Caenorhabditis elegans: one gene and its partner. The protein of the gene in region 1 interacts with the protein of each later gene in a biochemical or structural test. Each region holds a gene or a part of one and is shown on either strand. Other genes may lie near its edges.

What was found. Proteins that work in one complex are often made in the same cells at the same time.
Region 2: of the proteins of tlk-1 (region 1) and air-2, one has a biochemical effect on the other in vitro, tested with the Caenorhabditis elegans proteins (one study listed by BioGRID).

What each region holds. Positions count from the first base shown.
Region 1 is NC_003281.10:9,696,314-9,704,470, reverse strand, and holds the start of tlk-1 (Serine/threonine-protein kinase tousled-like 1), read right to left. Parts: upstream 4,478-8,157; coding exon 4,352-4,477; intron 1-4,351. UniProt on the Caenorhabditis elegans protein: Essential for appropriate transcription during embryonic development. May act during transcription elongation to activate the RNA polymerase II large subunit (ama-1) by phosphorylating the Ser-2 residues of the C-terminal domain 7-residue repeats.
Region 2 is NC_003279.8:5,935,896-5,941,159, forward strand, and holds air-2 (Aurora/IPL1-related protein kinase 2), read left to right. Parts: upstream 1-1,581; 5' UTR 1,582-1,588; coding exon 1,589-1,656; intron 1,657-1,705; coding exon 1,706-1,814; intron 1,815-1,890; coding exon 1,891-2,258; intron 2,259-2,321; coding exon 2,322-2,595; intron 2,596-2,695; coding exon 2,696-2,794; 3' UTR 2,795-2,981; downstream 2,982-5,264. Other genes in the region: B0207.6 (GPN-loop GTPase 2), read right to left, coding at 310-508, 666-773, 891-1,049. UniProt on the Caenorhabditis elegans protein: Serine/threonine-protein kinase component of the chromosomal passenger complex (CPC), a complex that acts as a key regulator of chromosome segregation and cytokinesis.

The sequences.
Region 1 (8,157 bases):
CATCACAAGTTTATCTATTTATTTTTCTCATCTCAATAATCATTTTACACTACCAACAGCAAGTCCTGATTCATTAAAAAACGTGAGCGAACCACCACTCGGAATCTCATTCTCCCATCTCAACGCGCTTACTTTTAAATTATATACAGGGAGAAAATACATATGAACGCTCCGAATGACGATAGAGAAAAAGAGAACAGGCGACAGTAGTGTCTAGAGATGACAAAAAACGAAGAGAGCGATGAGAGAGACATACAAATACATACACTCTGCATCTGGTCTAACCCAGCAAAACCAAAAAAAAGGAGAAGAAAACGACGAATAAGTAGAGAGGACGACAGCGGAGATGACAACACTATGGATAGGGGAAAACAAGGAAGAAGTAGAAGAAGAGGATGAGAAAAAGAAAAGAAAAGGCGGCGGTGAGGAAAAAGAAAGAACATTGCCCCCAGTCAGTTCCCTGGATTAGATATTATGCCAAATTAGGAGAGGACGCACACACACACACACGGCTCCAGAAAAGCAGCAGTAGAGGAGAGTGTGCTCAATAGAGGGGGGACGCGGGCCACGAAATCTATTAAAATCTGTCTCTGATGATGAGTGCAACGCGCGCATAAACAACATGCTATCACAAGAGACACAAGACGGCGAGGGACACAAGGAGCACACAAAAAGTTGAGAGAATCAGAGATCCCGGGGCGACGACGACAGCCGTGAAAAGGGACATGGCGCGGACGCCAGAGTTTTTCCGGTGAACTTATTTAGCTCTCATTTAGCAGAAAGAGTTTCATATTTCTACTATGAAATTCGAATTGAAAAAAAAAGAAAACTCTCGTAAAACTGATAAGAAGTACTAAAGCGACAGACTGGTGGCACATTTATGTACGTTGTAATCTTACTAATGGTGATCATCAATATTTTTATCCCAATCAATAAGAAACAAGAACAACAAAAGTGAGCAAAACACAAAGCCGAAAAGGAAAATGAATATGAAAAGACAAAAAAGAAGAAGAACTAGAAGTGGAGGTAGAAAAGAGCAGCAGCAGGAGCAGTCACAAAGTCCAATAATCATTTTGTTTTGTGTATGTCTCTGTTTCGCCTGCCTCCAACAACTCAACATCTTCTACATATTCCTCTTTTATTTCCGTGTGTGTTGAATACTCTCATCTCGCCATCAAATCAACCCTTTTCTCTCTCTCACCACACTCTGCTACTACTAACCCAGAGACGACGCATCATGATGGCTGCAAGCAACACAGTGGTCGGTATGACATGGAAAGCAAGACAAAAAAAGCACTACGCATCTCACCATCACATATCATTTCTCAATTTGCAATCGATTCGAAAAAGTTTTACAGTTTATAGGTGTGCAAGGGATCGGAGAGGAATACATATAAAACATATAAAACATCAAGCGAAAGGTTGGAAGAAGAGTATGCAATCCCCCAGAGTCGGAGACATATTTCTCGCAAATCGCCGCCACAAAAAATGAAAATTGTTCGGATCAACACAAGAGGGAGGACAGAACAAAAAAAAACGCACATGCGAGGAATCGAGACGGAAAGGAGCAACGGGAGGGTAGACGAAAAGAAAGTAAGAGTATAGAGTGGAACGAGAAGGAGGAGGAGACCGCCTTTTTGTCAAGAGCGCTGTTTGCGCTTTCAACACCTCAATGAAGCACACGCCATTATCCGTAGTGGTTGCAGCGGGCTGCTGAAATTCGGAGTAGGCGCGTGATAGAGGCAAAATTGAATCGATGCATGCGTCGGTCGAGGTGGGGACATCAAGATGCGACCACATGAACAGAGAAGTATTGAGCGGGGGCCAATAGAAAGTGAAACCAAAACCCAAGCAAAGGGAACCAGATTTGTAGTTATTTGAGAGTGGCAGCAAAAGCTAAATGTCTTCACACACATACACACAAACAGCAGAAGATGTCCGAAAGGCTCACATATACGTCACCCGGCCAACTAATTATACTCAACAGGGAAAACACATGTGCGTCGAAACAACCAACAATCAGAGCCTTATATAGGATATAAATAAAAATGAAAGGGGGAGGAGGTGTTCAAATCGATTGGAAGGGCGACAAAACAAATGAGCAGTGGTAGGAGCAGCACATAGCAAAGCCAACCATATTGCAATTCGGCCTTCCTCTTTGGTGTTTGATAACGGTAAACACACATGTGATGACGGGCAATGGATGATGGTAGTTAGTTGGTTCGAAGTAGAAAGGAGACGAGAGTACTTTGTATGTGGAAAATATCAACTTTTATTTGTAAAAACCATGACCATCCGAATGGATTGCAAAAGAAAAAAAACGCGCGACACGATCGCATAAAGCGAAATATATCAAGTCGGAAACGAGGAGCGAAGAGGAGGCAAAGAAACGGCGAAGAGAGGAGGCAAATGAATCGAAGAGGTCGAAACACACACACCAGGAGGGGCAACTGAGACGGACCCTTTTCCCGCCCCTCCCAAACAACCACCATCGCTACACCATGCTACGCAAAAAAAATGTGTTGAATAGGAAGGCGATGTCTCGGCGACGGCTCCTCCTCTTTAGGACCCACACGAGTATGAGAGCGGAAACGAAATACGCACTCGGAGCATAGAGAATGGATAAAGACGTCGTTGTCGCCCGGCGCCCTACTTTGCTTAAGGCGACGAGTAAGAGCACTCTTTTTCATCTTCAGGCTCTTCCTTCACTCCAGAATACATCTGTTTGACAGAGAAAAAAACAAAGAAAAGCCGATGAACGAACCATTGGACGAACGAAGGAAAACGACCGCAGACGAGTACACTAGGTGCAAAGAGACGTAGAGAATGCGAGAAGAAGTGTGTTTCTGTGATGAAGAGACACAGTTCTAATGTTATATTTTCTACACCTTTTAGGCAAGAAAGCTGGTATAAATGTTGTGAAGAGCAGTCATTTTCAAAAAAAAACTCGTGAACCATGCAGCAACAGCGAACGAGGAGGAAGAAGAAAATGGAAAAGACGCAGAGTGCGGATAGAAAAGAAGAAGAAATCATAGGTGGGGGTGGAGACACTGCAAAAAGAACACAAATAAACCGATAGATACACATTAGAATCGATAGACTGGGATAGAATGAGGAGATAAATAGGAAAACGACAACATCATATCGTCTCGCTGTTTCTATCATGTATTGAATGTATATACAGAAAACTAGGAACGGGATCGGCATTCTTTTTCGTTTTTGCTTCTCTCCAACAAATTATCAAGCCGACAATCCCACATAATTCTTATCATCACATACTTTCCATAAATTCCCACTTTGTCCTTCTCACAAGGTGAATAGCAATGATTTGTGACCATGTGTCATTGACAATAATACAGTATCACCATCATCCTCGACAGGTGTACGGGGCAGCTGCTATCCGGAAAAGCTTTTAACGTGAGAGAAACCATGAGTTGTAATTTTTGGGTAGTTGTCTCAGAAAGTTCCGGAATCTTTTTAAAATGTACGAGATGACGAATCTTCAAAGTAGCCAGCAACCATGAGTGAACGGAGATTCAATGCAAAAATTGCCAAGAAAAAAACAAGAATTCCAATTTCGGAGGTGATGCAAAAGAAGAAAGAATTGCTCAACGAGTGACAGCTTTGAGATGACTAAATTATCCGTTTTCTTGAGAAGTTCATGACGAGAAGTGAACTGAATCTGTGAGGGATGGGGAATAAGAAAAAGTTCAGAACTGAAAATTAAAATTAAAAAAAAAAAAAAAAAAAAAACCTAACGCTGCGATAATTTGAAAGACACATAACCCGAAAACTACAAATTTGGTTTTTCCTCTCGCAACTGTTTAATGTGAGATTGACAGAGAGATTTATGAATTGACGGAAGAAGAGGGACCCGAATGAGAAAAATTGGTTTAGCCAACGACGTCCGCATTGTCGTCGCCGTTTGCCCTGTTCACAACCGACGACGACGGGGATGGGGAGAAAGAAGAAGAAAGCAGTCCAGGGGCCAAGCCAAACACCGAGTCGCTTTCGACGACGGTTGGTTAGCGTTTTGTGTTGTTTAAGTGAATGTGAGTGCGTGTGAGTGCGGATGTGTTGGAAGAGGAGTGAGCGTCTCCGCCGTGTGCGTATGCAATGTCGTGGCAGTCAGTCCGTGCGCGTTATTTGTGTGTCAAAGAGTGTTTTGTGGGGTTAAAGAAGAGATTGCCTGATCCATGTGTGTCGGTTCACACAGGTTGACAGTGTGAGTGTGCAGTCATCACGCCTACACCGAATGATTTACGATTCCCTTCGCGTACCACACATAAAGTAGAATTCAAGTCAACAACTAACACTATAGATTGGCAGTGAATCAATGAAATGAACATACCGTTGGTAAAGCTTTGTTCTGTGGGCCCGTATTGAACATCTTTTGCTCTAATACGAAACTTCGTTCTCCGCCACCACTGCTGCTTCCGCCTCCTGCGACGATACCGTCCATTGACAACATCGACATTGTTGTTGTGAAGACGACGATGACGGTGTCAGTGACAGATCGATAGGCACAACCCAATGGGATGAATTTGTCAAGAAGAGAGTCTTTCTTGATTAACGATTCGATCCGAGGAGGTTCTGAAAAAAATTGAATTTGTTAAAAAAATCATTTAAACAATTTTGAGAGGAAGAAGGACAAAAAAGAAACAAAGATTGTGCAAACAGATGGACTTTCACAGTTTCATATATTTTGAAATGATAGACTTTCTGCAAGTGGGGTGTGAACCTCTGCCGCGACACAGCTGCGAGAGGAGCGGCTCAAAAAAATTATATTTTTTAATTGAAAACACGCAATTTTTAATTTTCATGATAAATCATGCGGTCTGGGCGAAAAACAAAATAAAACAAACTTTTTTGTTTGAACCGGTCCGCTCGCAGCTGCGTCGCGGTCGTGGCCGCGGCCGATGTTCACCACCATCACGCAGAAACTCTGTCATTTCAAAATTTCGAAAAAAGTAAAACATTAAAGAAAAATTGATAATAAATAGGAAACAGTGCCACTTTTATTTTGGAAACTACTCAATATAATTTTAATAGAAGTTCTAAAAAATCAATGTTTCGAAGTAAGTGTATAAAATAGTTCAAATGTGAGAGAAAGTGTGCGAAAACTTCCTCCGTCACATGACCATCATCCATATAGCAATAGAACCTTTGTATTCTCGTGCCCTCCCATCGCCCATCTAGAAAAAATCTTTTTGCCTCCAAAAAAAAACAAGGCGGCAGAACCACACAACGACTATCGTGGCACAAACAAAAACGTTAAACTTAGACGACGTAGTAGTTGACTAGAAATTCAGATGACACGTACGATTACGGTTGCTATAGAAATTTAATTCCCGCACTTAAGATAGTCTAATTTAAAATGTGATTCAAAAAGTTTTAAAGAAAAATATAGAACAATTTAAATTGTGGAAAACGTTAAATAGATTTTTTCAAATATACAAAAAATGAAATAGCGAACGGGACAAAAAAGAACCATCTGTACGTAGTGCCCGGCGAGGTGAGAGTGAGAGAGCGTGTAAGACGAAGAGAAACATAGAAAAAAGAGGCACAGAGTGGTGAAGATGAAGAACGGAGAGCGCGGTGTCGAAGGACATCAACTTCTTGCCGCTTTGCGCTCACAAATTTAACTGAAAAAGATGATAACAAATGAGGAGAAACGGATAGAAACCGACGGAAGGAAGGAGGAAGGGGCGACCACGAGAACATCTTTTTCTTCGCGTGTTTGGCACTCCATTTCTAAAGCCATCGAAATCATCACTTATCAACTTTTTTCCGACCGATAAAAATTTGTTTTATTTATGACTATTGAGAAACAAAGAAGAGAAAAATAAATAATACGTTTAAAATAAAGTTAACTGTCAACAAAATGGAATTGAAATTTCAATTAGGAGTAGTTCGTGGAGATTTTTCACTCAAATTGACTAAAACTGTCTCAAAAAACAGAATTTTGAAAAAATTTTAACGGAAAAATGTTCAAAAATCTGGCTCCTTTTTTTCGAATTTTCTCTCGTGCATAACATTTTTTTTTATTTTTGAGAGAATTTTGGGCCATTTTTTTTATTTATTCAACAAACAATCCGCAAAATCTACTCTCTTTGAAATTATAAGTACGTCAGTTAAATTCAAATGTTTTAAAATAACTATTATTCAAACCTCCGTCATCACTGAAACATGATTATTAACTAGGAAAGTAACACGATGGACAATAAATAACGACAGGGCAAAATGGGCGGGGCCTAGAGGGCAACGTTGTTTCATTGACTGCTTTCACACACATACACACACTAATCGATACAAATCATAAGGAACATACGGCCAACAATGCCATCTCCTCCTGCGTCACAGAAACCCACACTTCTTCTCTTTTGATCGAGGAATGAAAAAGTAGAAGAGACGACGCAAAAAAAATCGAAAACAACGACTCTTGGGGCGGTAGACAAAATGAACTATATGTGCTTGTTTTTGCATGAGACTCTTCACTAACTGTGTTCGTGGCGAGACCTGCGCGCGCGCGAAACTATGCGATTTGAAATTGTGGTACTGTAGAGTTAGCGAATGAAAATTTTTGAGAGGAAAACTACGGAGTATTTCGAAAAGAAGAAGAGAACAGTGAAAACGAAACTCTTTTTTAAAAAAAAAGCGAAGCAAGTTTTTTTTTTCAAAAAATGCATGTCGAATCTAAAACTACAATCAAATTATAATACACTTCCAATAGAAAAAAATTTGTATCGGCGATGGGTGATGGATCGTAGAAACAAAAAAAATACATTTTTTGAAAAAAAAAGGCGCCAAATCATCTTGTGTCGTGTATAAATGTGAATTGGGAGAGTAGGAGGCAAAGGCCTAGTGGGAGACAAAAAACAGAGAGCGTGACGAGCGAAGAGACGATGATCAACGAAGGTTATACATTGCAATCGGCCATCATTTAGCAAGTGAGCGCAAGTGAACGAGAGACGATAGATGAAGAAGCGAAGAATAGGCGCAGACGGAGTTGCAGCAGCATCCAAGTAGCCATTCAGGACCGGACGACCGCAACAGGAGGCAAGAGACATCATGCTCCGTACGGACGGTGCAGATAGACGAGATGGAAAAGTTAGAGACTGCTCTGATTTCAGAGAATAATGCACTACTACTACCCTATTTTTTTCTCAATGCCAACTTTTTTGCTCGATTCTATGTTTTTTTTTGTATATTCTTTTATAGACGGTTCGAGGAAGAAACTTTTTAAAAATTTGTAAAAACCTATAATTCCAAAAAATGATACACAATGAAACTAATTTATGTAAACGTATTAGCTCCGCCCATTTTATAGATGTGACTGACCTTGAAAGCGACTCCAATATTTTGAAAAATGGCGGGAAAAATATTTGAATGCTTTTTTGTACCCAGTACCGAGTGCCGCCATAATTTCAAGGACGCGTGTGACGTCACATTAAAAAAAATCTACTTATCTGTGAGCCCTGAAGAAATTTAAAAATGGAGGAGTGTGACATGTGACTTTGCTTTTAAAACAATTAGTCTCAGATTCACTATCAGAAACAACGAAAAAAAGTAGAGAAAGATTGAAAAATCCAACTTTTAAAAAACCGATTTTTTAAAAAGATTTCGGCGAATTGTTCGAATTCGCTTTAAAATGAGAACCGCAAAGCGAAAGTTGGATCTTTCTTGATTTTTTTGTGGAATTTCGAAATTTTAGATCATTTTGAGTCCATTACTAAAACTAAAAATTCACTTCTCAAATAAGAAAGTAATAAATATTAAACTTCATACATTAAAACTGCATCTGACACCGAACAACGCGCAATACAATTAAAGTGCATTAAAACTGTATTTGATACCTAAGAATGCGTAATATAGTGTAAACGGACCCTATTCGAGCTGATGATATTCATGAATCTTAAAATATAGAAATCACAAAGCCTCACACATTTTTAGAAAATAACGCATCAACACAAGAGCACATACGGCAAACAAACGATAAAGTGGCAAAGAGAGGGAGGAAAGAGAGCAACCCTTCGGAATTGACCTTTGTTAGACTCAATAAACCTACCAGATGCATCATAATTAGCAGATTACTAACGGAGCACGCGGATATGATGGAGAAATTAAAAATCGAAGATTGAAAATATAGTTAGGAAA
Region 2 (5,264 bases), on another chromosome or scaffold:
AATGAATATAATTTTAATTTGTTCCTTTCAGCCACACAAAATTTAAAGTGGTTCCGAATTTCAATTTTTTCCATCTAAAATCAAATAAATAACAAAAATAGGTTTCAGATTAAATGAAAGTTTTATGTGCCAGAAAGATATTGCATTTCTTAGCCAGAAATACATAAAGGCCCATGGAGTTTCAAAATTGTACAGAACAAAAATAAATTTTCATTTTTTGGAGGAAATCAGCTGAATTATATTTGGAAATTTCGGGTCGAGAGACAAGAAAAGTATTTCAATTTTTTTTTAATCTTAATGAACTCTTACCTAATGTGGATAATGCAACAGAAATGAATTTCGATGGGTCACTGCAGTAAAGTGAATCGGCAAGATGTAAGGCACATAGTCTAACACCGGATTTTTCCAAAAAGCGGATAACTTTCCATAGTTCGCCTTCGCTTTTGTATAGTTCCAACTGTCCGGGACAATCAATTATCAGATATTTCTTGTGATTCGCTTCGATTTTCTGAAAAAAGATTTAATTGAATATTAAAACTACAAAGAGGTTAAAAATGATTTCCGATTTTCTCGATTCAAATTTAGAGAATTCCAGATTTTAGCTCAATTGTTGTGAAAACAATTTTTAGCTTTTGAGAATTAACTTTTTCTGCCAAAAAAATTACCTGGAGGAGCCAATTACAATTAGCTCCAAGTGTTTCAATACAGTATTTGAGAGCTCCATTTGGTCCAAGTCCAAGTCGATCCATTACATCATTCACAGTGATCATTTCCTAAACTTTAGTATTTTAAATGAAAAATATGACCTTAAGTATTAAAATAACATTGATAGATGATCTGTACCACGTTTCATAATTATTGTCCTATATTCATTGGAATAAAATACTTACAGTGATATTTACATCAGGTGCGTATGCCATTGTGTCATTAGCAGGATCAAGATTGATAGTGAGAAATGGTCGTTTGGTTTGTGAGAAAATGTCCGTTAATCCTGCACAAAATGTAGATTTTCCAGCTCCAGGAGCTCCAATTACAAGAACTCCGTACATAGTCCAATGAGTACTGAAATTTTCTAGTTGAATCTTAATTTTCTACGGATTGTTTTGATAGGAAAACATTTAAGAAGAACAAAAATATATAAATACAATTTAATTTAATTTAAAACAAACAAAAAAGCAGGATAAACGGGCCTGGCACAGGGCCAAGTACGCATTTACACCGTACATGACGACATATTGCGGACCATTGCATTTTGCCGCGTTAATTTTTTATTTAAACGGCTTGCATTTCTCCTTACTATCCAGCTGACAATTTTTAGTTTCTTTAGAATTATTTGCAATCAAAACTCGTTTTTTGTAAACATATTTACTCAGGTAATGTGTTGATTTCTCACTTTTTTTTGAAATCAAAGCAGAATTAGTCCTATTTTTATTCTACATAAATATCTAAATGTATTCAATTAAAAATTGGGCCATTGAACTTCTAATTAATTCAATTTATAAATTTATCGTGATGTTTTCTTTTAGTTAATTTGTCCTTAATCGTGCCGTCTATTTTATTTCTTCATAAAAAACTTTTCAGTTCCGACATGGAGAATAAGCCACCTGTAATCAACCTTCCAGAGAAGGAAACTGTGAATACTCCACAGAAGGGAGGGTAAGAAATCAAGGTTTTAAAAGTTTATAAATTATTCTTGATTTTACAGAAAATTTACTATTAACGATTTCGAGATCGGAAGACCACTGGGAAAAGGAAAATTCGGCAGTGTTTACCTGGCTCGCACAAAAACTGGACATTTCCATGTAGCGATCAAGGTAACATATTGATTTATTTTGTATTTATTTGAATTATCATTTTTCTGACATCCGTTTTACCCATACATATTTTCAGGTTCTATTCAAATCGCAACTCATCTCAGGAGGCGTCGAGCATCAATTGGAGCGTGAAATTGAGATTCAATCTCATTTGAATCACCCGAATATTATCAAGCTCTACACATATTTTTGGGATGCGAAGAAGATCTATCTCGTTTTGGAATATGCCCCCGGAGGCGAAATGTACAAGCAATTGACAGTGAGCAAGAGATTCTCAGAGCCAACAGCTGCAAAATATATGTATGAGATCGCAGATGCTTTGTCATATTGCCACAGGAAAAATGTGATTCATCGCGACATTAAACCGGAGAATTTGCTTATCGGATCACAAGGAGAATTGAAAATTGGAGATTTTGGATGGAGTGTTCATGCTCCTTCGAATAAGTGAGTTTATCCTCAAATTTAGGAAATCTAGATGTTTCCAAAAATTCACTGTCATGTTTTCAGGCGCCAAACAATGTGCGGAACAATGGACTATCTCCCTCCTGAAATGGTGAATGGAGCCGATCACAGTGACGCAGTTGACTTATGGGCAATCGGCGTTCTCTGCTATGAGTTTCTCGTTGGAAAACCCCCATTCGAGCACGAAGATCAGTCCAAGACATATGCGGCAATCAAAGCGGCACGGTTTACTTACCCTGATTCTGTGAAGAAGGGTGCACGAGATTTGATTGGAAGATTGCTTGTCGTTGATCCCAAGGCTCGCTGTACGCTTGAACAGGTTTGTTATTGATTTCAGCTTAGTGGCCAACATATTATCAGCACACAGAAGTACACTTTTGTAGTGTTCTTAATTATCATAATTCATTAAATTATTACAGGTGAAGGAACACTACTGGATCCAGGGAATGATGGAGGCAAAAATTAGAGCTGAGAAGCAGCAAAAGATTGAAAAAGAAGCAAGTCTTCGGAATCACTGATCAACTACTGATTTTCCCGTCCTTCTTTCAATCATCTCGTCTGTCTGTCAAATAAAGGATCTCATCACATTTACTAGAAATTTTAAAAAGTGAAATAACTTGTCAACCAATTTTTCATGTAGTTTTTGTTTCGCGAACTCTATTATTCCCAATCGTCTAACCCCATTCATTCAACATAAATTTATTTTCTTTTCTCGTTCTCCATCTTTCTCAATATATCTACAACAACTCAATTAGTACCTCCCGAGATTTTCTCCTTTTTCAGATGTCGCGTAGACTCGCACTCGGAGCAGCTGCTTCTTTTCGTTGAGGTTCATTTGCATTTTTAGATTTTTGAGAAAAAAAAAAAAATAAAATTTAAAAGCGACAAGAAAATTTCGATTTTCTTTAGGATTATTTTATCACACCGTGCGACTTTATAGTCCCAAAAGGAAAAATAACAACTAAGCTTAGTACTGAGTACACTTGAAATTTCAAAACATGAGGTTTTTGAAATTCACGTGCTCCAACAATTTCAAGCACTTCTTGTGCCCTTTTTAAGTCCTCGAAAACTTATAATTTTTTCAGTAAGTGGTGCGGGGACATTTTCAAAAAGTTGTTTTTCTCAAACAAAGCATATTTCACAAGATGTCATTCTGGACAACAAAAAATTAAATTAAATTTTTAAATTACAGGGAACTTTTACCGATTAAGCGCGGGCGGTGTAATTATAGGTTTCGATGATGTGGTACTTTGGCTATAATTTAGTTATACAACTAGAATTTTCTAATTTTTTTATTTTCTTTCGAGATTTCTGAGAACACATTTTTATTTGAGAACTCATGCTAATTGCTGAACCGTTTTCTCCGATTTCTTCAAAAATCTCACATTTTTTGTCTGATTAAGAAAATTAAAGTTTCATTTTTCACTTGTGAATAACGCATCTTTTGAAATCAGAATGCAATCGCGCTCCAACGCCAAATAGAAAGACTCCGCCCCGATAATTTGGGTCTCGTTAGGTATTTGCGGAAAATACGTAAATGTATTATTTTTCCAAAATTTTCATTCAGTTTCGTTGATTTCACTCGTTTTCAATCATTTTTTCGTGAAATTTTGTTGTTCATTTTATTATAGCAAAATATAGCCAAAAATAGCCAAAAATTCGAAAATTCTATTAAACTAGGGTAATCGACGAAAATAGCCAAAAGTATGACTGGCGGAGCACTCTGATTCCAATGTTTGTGAACCTTATGATTTTTCAATTAATGAACCTGAAATTTCGACGTACTTAGCTAACTGAATAATCAATTAAAAATAGTCCAAGTAGTGACGTCTCACTTTTTTTCGAATGCGGATATTGAAAAATCAGCTGCTGCCGAATCGACAATCATCGATCTCCTAACACTCTTCTTACCTGAAACTTCTTGAGTCACGGTTATTTTCAACAAAAAATGATTTTTTTATGTGTTGGTTTCTGCGTTTATTCGTATTTGGAACTATGTAGAAGTCAAGTACGAACATGCAAAAACACGATACATAACCAAGATATGGGCGGAGTCTAATACATGCATCACACAATTGTTAGAAAAACAATTTTGATAATAAGTATTTTCTTAAAATATGCTCCTCCCATATCTTGCCTTTTTTTTTGGTGTTTCATTTTCTGAATTTTTTTGTACTTTTCTTTTTTCTCATTATACAAGATGTACGAAATAATAACTATCTTCGAGTAAATGATTATTTGAACTTTTAATTTTTATTCCTCTCTTCGTCTTCTTCTTCTTTTCTTCCTTCCGCTCCAAAGAATACTCACACCACATATCAGCATATTTTGTCGTTTTCCTTGTCTAGTTAAGACATTCATCTCGCTTTCATATTTCTCCGCTTCTTTTCATTTAACAGGTGCAATATTTTTTTTTTTCTATTAACAATAAGATTTTTTTTTCAATTTTTATTATTTCAACAAATAGGCATGTACCAACTTTGGCTGAATTGAAACTTTTAAAAGTTATTTTTCATTAAAAACTTTTTTTTAAAAAATCAATTTTTTACTTTGTTTGCCTATTCTGAACTGCCGAGAATTTTTTTATTTCCGAATAATAATTGGATTACGGTTACAAAACAGAGTTTTTATGACACGCCCGCGAAAAAAATCGAAGGTGAGTTTTCTTTCCTTGGTGTTTTTTTTTACTTTTTATATTTGCTTATTTCAAAGTCTGTAGAAATAATCCAAAGCGAAATTTATTGAAGACCATGATTTCTAGAAAAACACAATAATACTTTTTGTAGGGCAGATTTTTTGTTTTGAAATTGATTTCTACGCTGATCCATATTTGAGTAGAGGTCTATCAAAAACATTTATCACTTTAGATATCTCACTTTTCTCATAAAACTTTTTCTAAAAAATTACAATTCAATTGAAAATCAAATCACAAAAACTCAGAGTTTGGATTTTTGGTTCATACAAGTTGCAATTATTATATACATTTCC